Linked DNA regions of Neurospora crassa OR74A. The protein of the gene in region 1 interacts with the protein of each later gene in a biochemical or structural test. Links are inferred from orthologs where the notes say so. Each region holds a gene or a part of one and is shown on either strand. Other genes may lie near its edges.

Region 1 (4,453 bases):
GCCGAGGGCAGAGGACGAGGGAGGAGGGGTTCGTGGTCGCGATCCGGCGTTCGACAGATTTCTAGTCCAAGAGCGCCATAGTCAGCAAAGACGCCGTCGTTTCCCAGAGAGACATCCAAACAGTAACGCCGGCACCAACGCACAATGAATCAAACTTGAGCATGTCGGCATGGGAATAGGCAGCGCCAACGACCTTGCCCGAGTCGCGAGTGGTCGTCTTCTTTAGCGGGGCATCCTTCTGGGGCGCTCTCCAAAAAGGGGAGCCAGAGCTGTCGCATTGTCCGAGTCATGTCAGTGTTTCCGTCTTTGAGTTTAGGAATAGGACTTGGGACATACTCGGACCTGTCTGAAGCCATGACGGGACATGGGATCAGCAACTGGTTATACAACAAACAACGAAAGAGGGGGGGGTTGTAGTCATCAGGCAGGACATACCAACTTGCACCATCTCCTGCTGGCGTAGCGACATCATGGCCTGTTAGCATCATTGGAGTGAGGAAATGAAGCACTAACACGTACCTGGGGAGACGCTTTCTTGCCCGAGCTCGAAGAAGAAGAAAACATTATGTGAGTGGGTAGTATACAAACAGGACTGGTGATTTCGCCTTGGTTTACCAGCGCAATGGCATCACACCATGGTCAACAATGTCGTTCGTTGAAAGGGACGGAGGGAATGTCCATGGAGCTAGACAGGCAGACAATGGAAGTGGCCGTTCCTGTTCCCTTCAATTCATTGATGGCGTGGTCGTGTTAAGCCCATCGGCTCGTTTCCTGGGTACACAGCGGTTGCCAGGCTCGGGGCCACTAACAAACACATGGCTTTTGGCAACCGGGCACGTCCAGGGCATCTTGCCCATCATTCAGGTCATCTCATCTCGGTGTCTTTGCCTTCCTGTTCCAGCAGTGATTGACTTCAGTTGGACACCGTCCGCCTGTCACAGCTCGCCAGCTGTTCGCCAGCCTCAGACGGGCAGCCGATGTCGCTCACAACTTGAACCACTACAGCGCATGGGCAGCCCACCTCAGAGGGTGTGATAAGGTGCGCTGGACTGGCACCCCCTTCCCCGCAGGTACACAGGCCTCGTTGTATAGGCTGTTTCTCACCGCCTACGCGCCTAGAGGTAATTGGCCCTTGCAGACCTACCATAGGTACCTACCTCTAGACACGCGACTGCCACCTAGGTGGGCAAGGGAAGTGCCGTAGAGGAGTCATGTAGAGGTAGTACCTAAGGTAGGTAACGTCTTTTTGTTAGTACCCGACCCCAAGTCTTGGTTGCCGGAAGCGCCCCAACTCGCGGTGCCGGTGCCTTGAATCGGGGTCCACACCCGACCGAACCTTAACACTCGGCGCCAAACTGAATGGGACTGCAGGGCAGCGGCGAGGGGACTGAGGCAGGCAGACTGATGGAGTTCCAGGTCCGGTTTCTTCACTTGAAAAGCAAACGACGTCCACTCTTCCACACTTTCCACCTTCACTTTTCTACCCAAGTCAAGTCATCCTCGACAGCAGCAATCACAACCACAACCGACGACTTCATTAGTTCACTTGTACACCCAATCCGTGCCCAAATTCGGGTCTTTTGATCTGAGGGAGGAAACTGTACAAGCACCTGACGGACTCGACTTCCACCCACCTCGGGCTCTACTTGAGCTGCTCCGAGGTCCATCCGCCGCATCTCTTCTTGCGACGAGACAACTCGACCACTACGATCCATTCGCGTCTCGCTGCTTCTCGACGACTAGACCATCTTAAGTTGTGTATTCTTTCTGACCTTGTTCGGCCTGGTCTACTTCCAGCAATCCTTCCCCGCCCTACGCCATCTCAGCGTTCCACACAAATACCAGTCTGAATCAACCTCAACTCTCATCTCTTTTCCATCTTCGATACCCGGTATTCAAACACACAACAACCGCCAAAATGGCCGAAGCAGAGAATTACGAGGATGACCTCTTCGACGACCTGTATGTTATTTTGAGTACTCGCGTAACCACCCAATCTGAACATGATCTGACACTCTTGCGAACTAGGTACAACGACGACGACGCTCCCGCTGCCTCAAAGCCAGCCGCTGCACCAGCTTCCGCCCCCACTACAGCTCAGACTTCAGCTACTGAGCAGCCTTCTCAACAACAGCAGCAACAGCAGCAACAGCAAGAGCAGCAGCAACAAGCTGCCGCCGTCCAGCAGTCGGCTGCTGACAACTACGGAGGATCCAACGACTACAGTCAGCAAGGCTACTACAATGGAGGCAACGGACAATACGGCAACGATGAGGAAGAAGACGAAGACGAAGACGATATCGACTTCAATCTCGGAAGCGGCCCGTCCACCACGGTCGCTCGCCATGAGGACGACAACAACAACCAAAACAACAACCAAAACAACAACAACAACAACAACAACAGCCAGTCTCAATCGCAATATCATGCTCCCCCACCGACCCAGGCCCAACACAAGGGCCCCAATGCCAAAGAAGATGGGTAAGTCACATCCCCTTGATGCTATTCGTGACACACGTATATGCTCGTAACATCCCCCAACCCCCGTACAACCCCTCTCTGTATCCTCGATTTCGCCCCGACGCAGCTGCAGCCCCGCCCAGGCTCTCCCACATGAAGAGATGAACACCTACTCGAGACCCGCTCAGGACGTGGCGTCCCAGAACTGCTCGGTTGGCTGGTAGGGAATGGAAGGATTGGGCGGCGCAAGGACCTGATGAGCACAGTAGAGTCTTGGTATCAGACACTCTGAGTTACTCTGGCGCGTATGGGTGAACCATACCGTATGGATGCACCAGGGGCTACAAGACTGCAAGTGATCAAAGGCAGGAAGGGATCGCTCTCCGCTATGGACGTGAACATAAAAATCGGGAGAAAAGAGGCTGGAAGCCGTGGACTTGTCCAGGGTCACGCCATGGATCAAGCTTCGACGTCAGATTGATCCCGGAGTACGCTCCTGTCTGTACTACAAGAATGGTGGATGGCCTTGCGGAGGTAATCTTAATAGGGCGTGAGGGAACCGGCTTCCTTTTGCCAGGACGGTCGATGAGCCTGCAGCCAGAGCAAGATTAGCAGCGAGAAGGGCAGCACCCAGAACAGATACAGACAGTACCTAGCTTGACGGTAGCAAAGAGCTCGAGACAGCAAAAAAATTCGAAGAAAGATTCCGGCACACCCAGAGACCACTTGGAAAGTGGAACATTGCTGCGCTGCTGCATCTTCTGTTCACTCTGGGAACTGCCGTAGCATCCCCCCACCCTGGCCCATTTCCGTCAAGTCAAGTCAGCATTCGGCACATTAGGACAGCAGTCGTCTCGTCACCCTTGAGAACATCGCGGAGGCGGCTTCCAACTTCTCATTCGCCAAATGACAACCATCATACGGTCCTCGGTCGGTGGGCTCCGCCAACCTGCGAAGCCAACGGGAGAATCACATCCATTGCCACACCCACAGTCAAAACACCAGGCCCAGTATAAACAAGATGAAGGGTAGTTCTTCGGATATTGATGGTGGAGCCCATGCTATGTCAAGGATCATGACGGTAGACGGTCCATGTGGTCGAACTAGAGGTCTGGGATAGACATTACCTGAGGCTGCTCAAGTCCTGGCGCAACGGCTGGGCAAATGGGCTTGCTTCCCCAGTTCACGCTATATGCACGCGCCTCTCCAAACAACGGCTACAAACATGCTTCCGCATCACACTGATTGGTAGCTCTTGGGTTCGCGTGTAGCCATATGCGGATTCGCTCAGGATTTGGGTGTCTAAAGGGCTAGGCGGCTGGGGCTGTTTGCTTGATCACTCGCAATGTCTTTCTCACATCCGCATTTCATCTCATCGAGCCCACACATTCTTCACTGCCCTCATGTTACGCTTACTTGTTCATGTCCAGGTATCATAGATTGCTCAAAAGATGATGTTGACTAACGTCTTGCGCGTGCGCTTGTGTCTTATAGGAAGATGTTCATTGGTGGCCTGAACTGGGAGACTACAGACCGTAAGCCTTGCCATTTTCCCTGTCCTCTCCTCATGGTAATTGTTGCCCTCAAGGGGCACCATATGTACCATATGGTATTCGTGACAGTTGTACTGATACCGGTCTTGTGACTTTTTAGAATCCCTGAGAGATTACTTCTCGCAGTTCGGCGAGGTTGTAGAATGCACCGTTATGAGAGATGGCGCCACCGGTCGCTCGCGTGGCTTCGGATTTCTTACCTTCAAGGACCCAAAAACAGTGAACATTGTTATGGTCAAGGAACACTACCTTGACGGCAAGATCGTACGTTTGCCCGCCATAGCTCGTCTAACCCGTCAAATAAGTGGCCACTAACTCATTCTCCTTATAGATCGACCCGAAGCGCGCCATTCCCCGCGATGAGCAAGAGAAGACTTCCAAGATCTTTGTTGGTGGCGTTTCTCAGGAGACCACGGACCACGAGTTCCGCGAGTACTTTG
Region 2 (4,566 bases), about 3.2 Mb from region 1:
CCGATTGCTGAACGGCATCGGATTGATCCCCCATGCACAGAGCCATCAGCTCAAAAAAGGTTGGCTGGACGTTGGCAACAAGCTTGGAAGCCTTGTCGTTGTCTAGGGCCTGGATGATGGCACTGAGAAGATCGAGGCTGGTGACCAGGAAATCCTCATCAGGTTGATCAAGATCGGTGTTGGTCTTGGCCTTCATGGCCTGCTCCAGGTTTTGATGAATAATTCGAATACACCTGCCGAAAATAGGCTCGGCGTAAGGGGTGAAGGCATCGCCAAGGGCCATAGCGACGTAGGAAAGGCACTCGAGCAAGGGAAAAAGCTCCCGGGACTCATCACCCACCTTCTGCCACCTATCCAGTAGGACTGGCATCAACTGGTTACTAAGCTCAGGCCTAGCCAGGACGGGGCCGATGTGCTCAGCCAGCGTCTGAACGCAGTCGTAGAGAACCCACATATTCTTATCCTTGTACTTGCCGAAGCACCGGATGTATTGCTGGATGATGGGTCCGCAGTAAGGCTCGAGCGCCTTGCCTGCCTTCTCTTCTAGGTTTGCCATGGCAGAGGCACCAGCCTCCTGAACGTTCTTGTTCTTGTCAAGCATCTTCTTGAGAATTCCGTCCATCATAGGCAGGAAGTATCTCTCCTTTTCTGCCTGATCCACAAGGCTAACCGCCCACGCAGAGTATCGACCAAGGGTCCAGCAGGTAATCTGGCGAACCACCGGCTCCTCGTCGTCGAGGAGACTAACAAGATAGGGCACCAATTCTGGAAGGTGGGGAACGACCACGTCCATGCAGCCCTCAGCAACAGCACCAAGGGCGAGAACAGCCGCTTCTCTGTAAGACCAATCCGCGTGCTTGAGGTTGCTCTGCAAATATGGTAGAATAGAAGTGAAGACTGGTCCGCCAAAGTCGCGAGCAAATACATCAAGTGCCGCCGCTGAGCACTTGCGGAGAGTCCACTTCTCATCGGGATTCTCATCTCCCTCGGACTCGCTGTCGTCAATTTCGCCATCTTCCAAATCATCGTCGTCTTCCTCCATGCTTGCAACCTTCTCGAACGCGTTTCCATTCTTCGCCATATCAGCCGCAGTGTTTCCGTTAGCAGCACGGGTCAGCTTCTTCTTGGCGAACTGTGGCTTGATATCCTCCTCCCGGTCTTCTTCATCCTCATCGTCCGAAGCACCTCCAAGTATAGCAATATCCTCGGGACTGTAGACCATGCACTCCAAAAGTACGGGGATGATGTCTGTGATGTACGGTTCCAGGGCCCGCCACAGGTTATCGTGCTCTCCAACAGTCAGCCAGAACTCGGCAGCCTCAGTGGCAAGATCCTCGTCGTCACCCTTTTGTTGAGCGATGATGTACTTGGCCAGGCCTTCGATATGGGGCAGAAGCTTGTCCGGACGGGTTTCCACCAGGTTCACAAAAGCACGGCAGACCTGTTTTCGGACATCGATTGAGGGATCTTCAGCCAGAGCAAAGAGGTGCTGTAGAAGGTCATCTATCGAGTTCAGCATGGCCTGCGACTTCCTAGGGGTGAACACATTGATGGCTGTGAGAGCATGGGCGCGAACTTTGGGAATTGCGCTCCTGGTTGCCTGAATAAGCTTTGGAAGGAGAAAGTTGATAGGTCTTTGGCCGTTGTGTTCCCTTTCTAGCATCTTCGCATTGTCTTCGCAGATCTTTGCCATGGCAGCCATAGCTCCCTCCTGCGCCTCGGGCGTTACCTGACCAGACTCATTGGTCAACATCTTGAGCAACTCGGGCAGAAACTCGGGCCAGCCGTAGATTCCTCCCTTGTTAATCAGCTCAGTCGCAAGAGTGCCTGCATGACTGCGGATCTGTGAGTTCTTGTCCTGGAGCCCCAAGGGGACAGCCAACTTGACAAGAGCCAAGCTCTGTTCTGGAATCTTGTTATAGTTGTTCTTGATGTTGTTCTTCAGCATCAGAGCGGCGGCACAGCGCACAACATGCCAGTCTGCAGCAGTCGCTGGAAACTCCTGGGGTGGTTCCGAGCTCGAGAAAATCAGGGCCAAGTAGTTGTTGATATCGGGCGAAGCTTTCGCTTGGTTAAGCATCTGGTTTATAAAGACAAGTCAGAATCTCTGTCTTGTGGCAATGCTCCATCAGACTGGGTAACTAGATGGTGCCGAGGGGCATTAACTCACGATTTCAGCCTGCTTCTGGGCGGCCTTGTTGAAGGCGCTCAGGGAATCCTTCAGACATTGTGCCAAAGTCTTCAGGTTCTCTCCACTCGGTTGCCAAGCCATGGTGATAATTGGGATTGAAGTGACACAGGCGCGTAACGTCGGCGATGTGTCGTGTGGTGGCGGCGGCGGCGGCGGCGGTTGGTGGGTTCTCGGACTTTGATATCTCGTAGCTGACGAGAACCAGAACGATGGTGTCGGGCCGATACCGGTGAACTGCTGAAGAGTCGAACGCAGAATTGGGAGGCCCAAAGAAAAAAAGAAAAAAAAATGGCCGACTCGAATGAACTCTCTGACAGTGCAAGTTCAGTTGTGAGAGAGGCGCCGGGTCACCACAGCGCGGCCTTCAAGGCGGAGGTACTCTTTAGGGTTCGTTTAGTTGAAGCTGGTCGTGGGTAGTCGCATCTGGCAGGCCGACGGGTAGCAAGAGCTGCAGACAAGAACCGGCAGTTTGTCCTCGGGAAGGAGGCAGGGTGTTGTTTCGTTGATGAAAGAGATCGATACCCAGAAGCAATTGCCAGTGGTTACCGGTAGGTCGACATCGATGGTGGTCGTGGGTGGGCGGCGGGCAAGGCTCGAGCAGGGCAATGTTTAATGTGGGGTGCAAAGTGGGCCTTGGCTGGCCTCTATTTTTTGCTGTGCCGTCAAGTGCAAGTGGTCGAGGGGAAGGGAACGGAAACTTGTTGAAGACAAGTGGAGGTGCCGCCCCTGCCCTGCACACCTGCACTGGCACTTGTGCGATGCCAAGCCTGCTCGCCTACCTAGGAGATGCGGGCCTGTCAAGAAATGTGGCAGGTGTGGTCAGTGGTCTTCAGGTGCTAGCTCTGCGTGGGCGGTTGTAGCTTCGTTCTGTCCAAGAGCGGGGCCGGGGCAACCTCCCATGGACGCTTGATGAGGTCGTCGTCTCTCTCTCCCGCTCTGTACCTCTCATGTATGGCGGCCACCCGCCCGCTTGATGGTTGCACAAAACCCCTTCTGATAATGCTAAGCTTCCTGCTACCTACGTATGCACGTACGCGCCTTGAAGTGGATGGCACCGTTACAGCAGCAACTCATTAATGCCCGAAGGAAATCGAACAGCAAATGGCACCGGGGTCATTCATTCAAGAGGAGTCATCGGCAGAGCTTCTGGCGTCGCAGTCAATGAGACGCCCGGCCCTTTGAACCTCGACCAAGGGCCTGGCCGAGACTTTGATACTTTTGGGTTCGTCCCATTTCCCAGCTTGTGAACCACCCTACCTATCGGGTCATATTTGGTTGAAGAAAAGCTAGGTTTTTTATGCGTTGTAAGGATGGGATGGCAGTAAGGGTAAGGTATCCTCTCTCGCATGTGGCCTCTATTTTAGTTTAAAAGCCTGCTTGGTGGGAACTGAGTTTCTAGACCGCTTTCTATGATTTGGGAATTGGATGGCGAGTTTTCCTCGTCACCTCTTTCTCTCCTTCTTGCTGTACAGACCGGATGATGTCCATCCAGCACAGGCGGGATACCAGTCGTCCTTTTCAGACCTACCAGACACATGGAACTTGGATGTCGCCAGAAGGTCCACGACAGTGTTGCTGTGTAACAGACGACTGAGATCTGCCAAACCTGCCAGGTCAGCTTTGTGAGCCGATCTATCCCGCGGCCATGTTGATGTGCCAAATATGAAACTGCAGATAACACCCTTTGCCTCATCATAACCAGGGCTTTGGGGTTCAGAACATTTCCGTCAATTCTCTGAAGGTTAATCGCCTTCGGCCATGCCCCGTCGGGATATGGTGCCAATCCATATTGCTACCAATACCCGACATGTATCAAGCAGGTAACCGAACACGAGTGACAGTTCCATGGCCTTCTTGGGTCATGGATTCGTGGGAAACGACACGCCTTTGTGGCACGTTCAAAAAAAGGTGAGTAGGTTAGGCAAGCTCAAACTAAGCGTTTGCGGAAATTCGTTGAGAAGGGAACTGCCGGAATCCCCTTGGCCAAAAGGCCGAGGTGTTTGTGTGCAACAACTTGTGCCCATCAACAGTAGCAAAAAGAAAAATTGTAGTTGGGAAGGGTTCTTTTGTCAACGTTCGAGGCTCAGGACTGGACTCCATTGGGCGTCGCGTTGGCAAACTCAAGTTTGGATAGGACAAGCTCGGCTACCTGTTTGAAAGCTTCCATCTCCTCTTCAACAGTCCCGCCAAGGCCGGCACTGGCAAAGCTCACCGAGTTGCCCACATAGGTAGGCAGTTGCGTCCTCCTTGTGATCAGCTTTGCCAGTCGGGTGGTAAACTCCAACGTCGGCTCAACCGTACAAAGAGGAGTTGACAAAGGCTGTGTCGGGTTGTATCTCTAGACCAAGATTAGTCACTGTAAAATGTATCGAATA

The links. The genes of interacting proteins can lie anywhere in the genome.
Region 2: the proteins of NCU17030 (region 1) and NCU03690 form a complex in vitro, tested with the Saccharomyces cerevisiae proteins (2 studies listed by BioGRID). The link is inferred for Neurospora crassa OR74A from reciprocal best matches to the Saccharomyces cerevisiae genes HRP1 and KAP104.

What each region holds. Positions count from the first base shown.
Region 1 is NC_026505.1:5,320,877-5,325,329, reverse strand, and holds the start of NCU17030 (heterogeneous nuclear ribonucleoprotein HRP1), read left to right. Parts: upstream 1-1,303; 5' UTR 1,304-1,918; coding exon 1,919-1,962; intron 1,963-2,028; coding exon 2,029-2,481; intron 2,482-3,954; coding exon 3,955-3,995; intron 3,996-4,113; coding exon 4,114-4,277; intron 4,278-4,344; coding exon 4,345-4,453. Other genes in the region: NCU04241 (TBC1 domain family member 22A), read right to left, coding at 1-61, 144-269, 337-346, 436-454, 520-564. UniProt on the Saccharomyces cerevisiae protein: RNA-binding protein, which is involved in the polyadenylation-dependent pre-mRNA 3'-end formation and cooperates with the cleavage factor CFIA complex and the cleavage and polyadenylation factor (CPF) complex.
Region 2 is NC_026505.1:2,091,225-2,095,790, forward strand, and holds the start of NCU03690 (importin beta-2 subunit), read right to left. Parts: upstream 2,845-4,566; 5' UTR 2,273-2,844; coding exon 2,171-2,272; intron 2,081-2,170; coding exon 1-2,080. Other genes in the region: NCU03691 (hypothetical protein), read right to left, coding at 4,275-4,529. UniProt on the Saccharomyces cerevisiae protein: Functions in nuclear protein import as nuclear transport receptor. Serves as receptor for arginine/glycine-rich nuclear localization signals (rg-NLS) and PY-NLS in cargo substrates. Its predominant cargo substrate seems to be mRNA-binding proteins.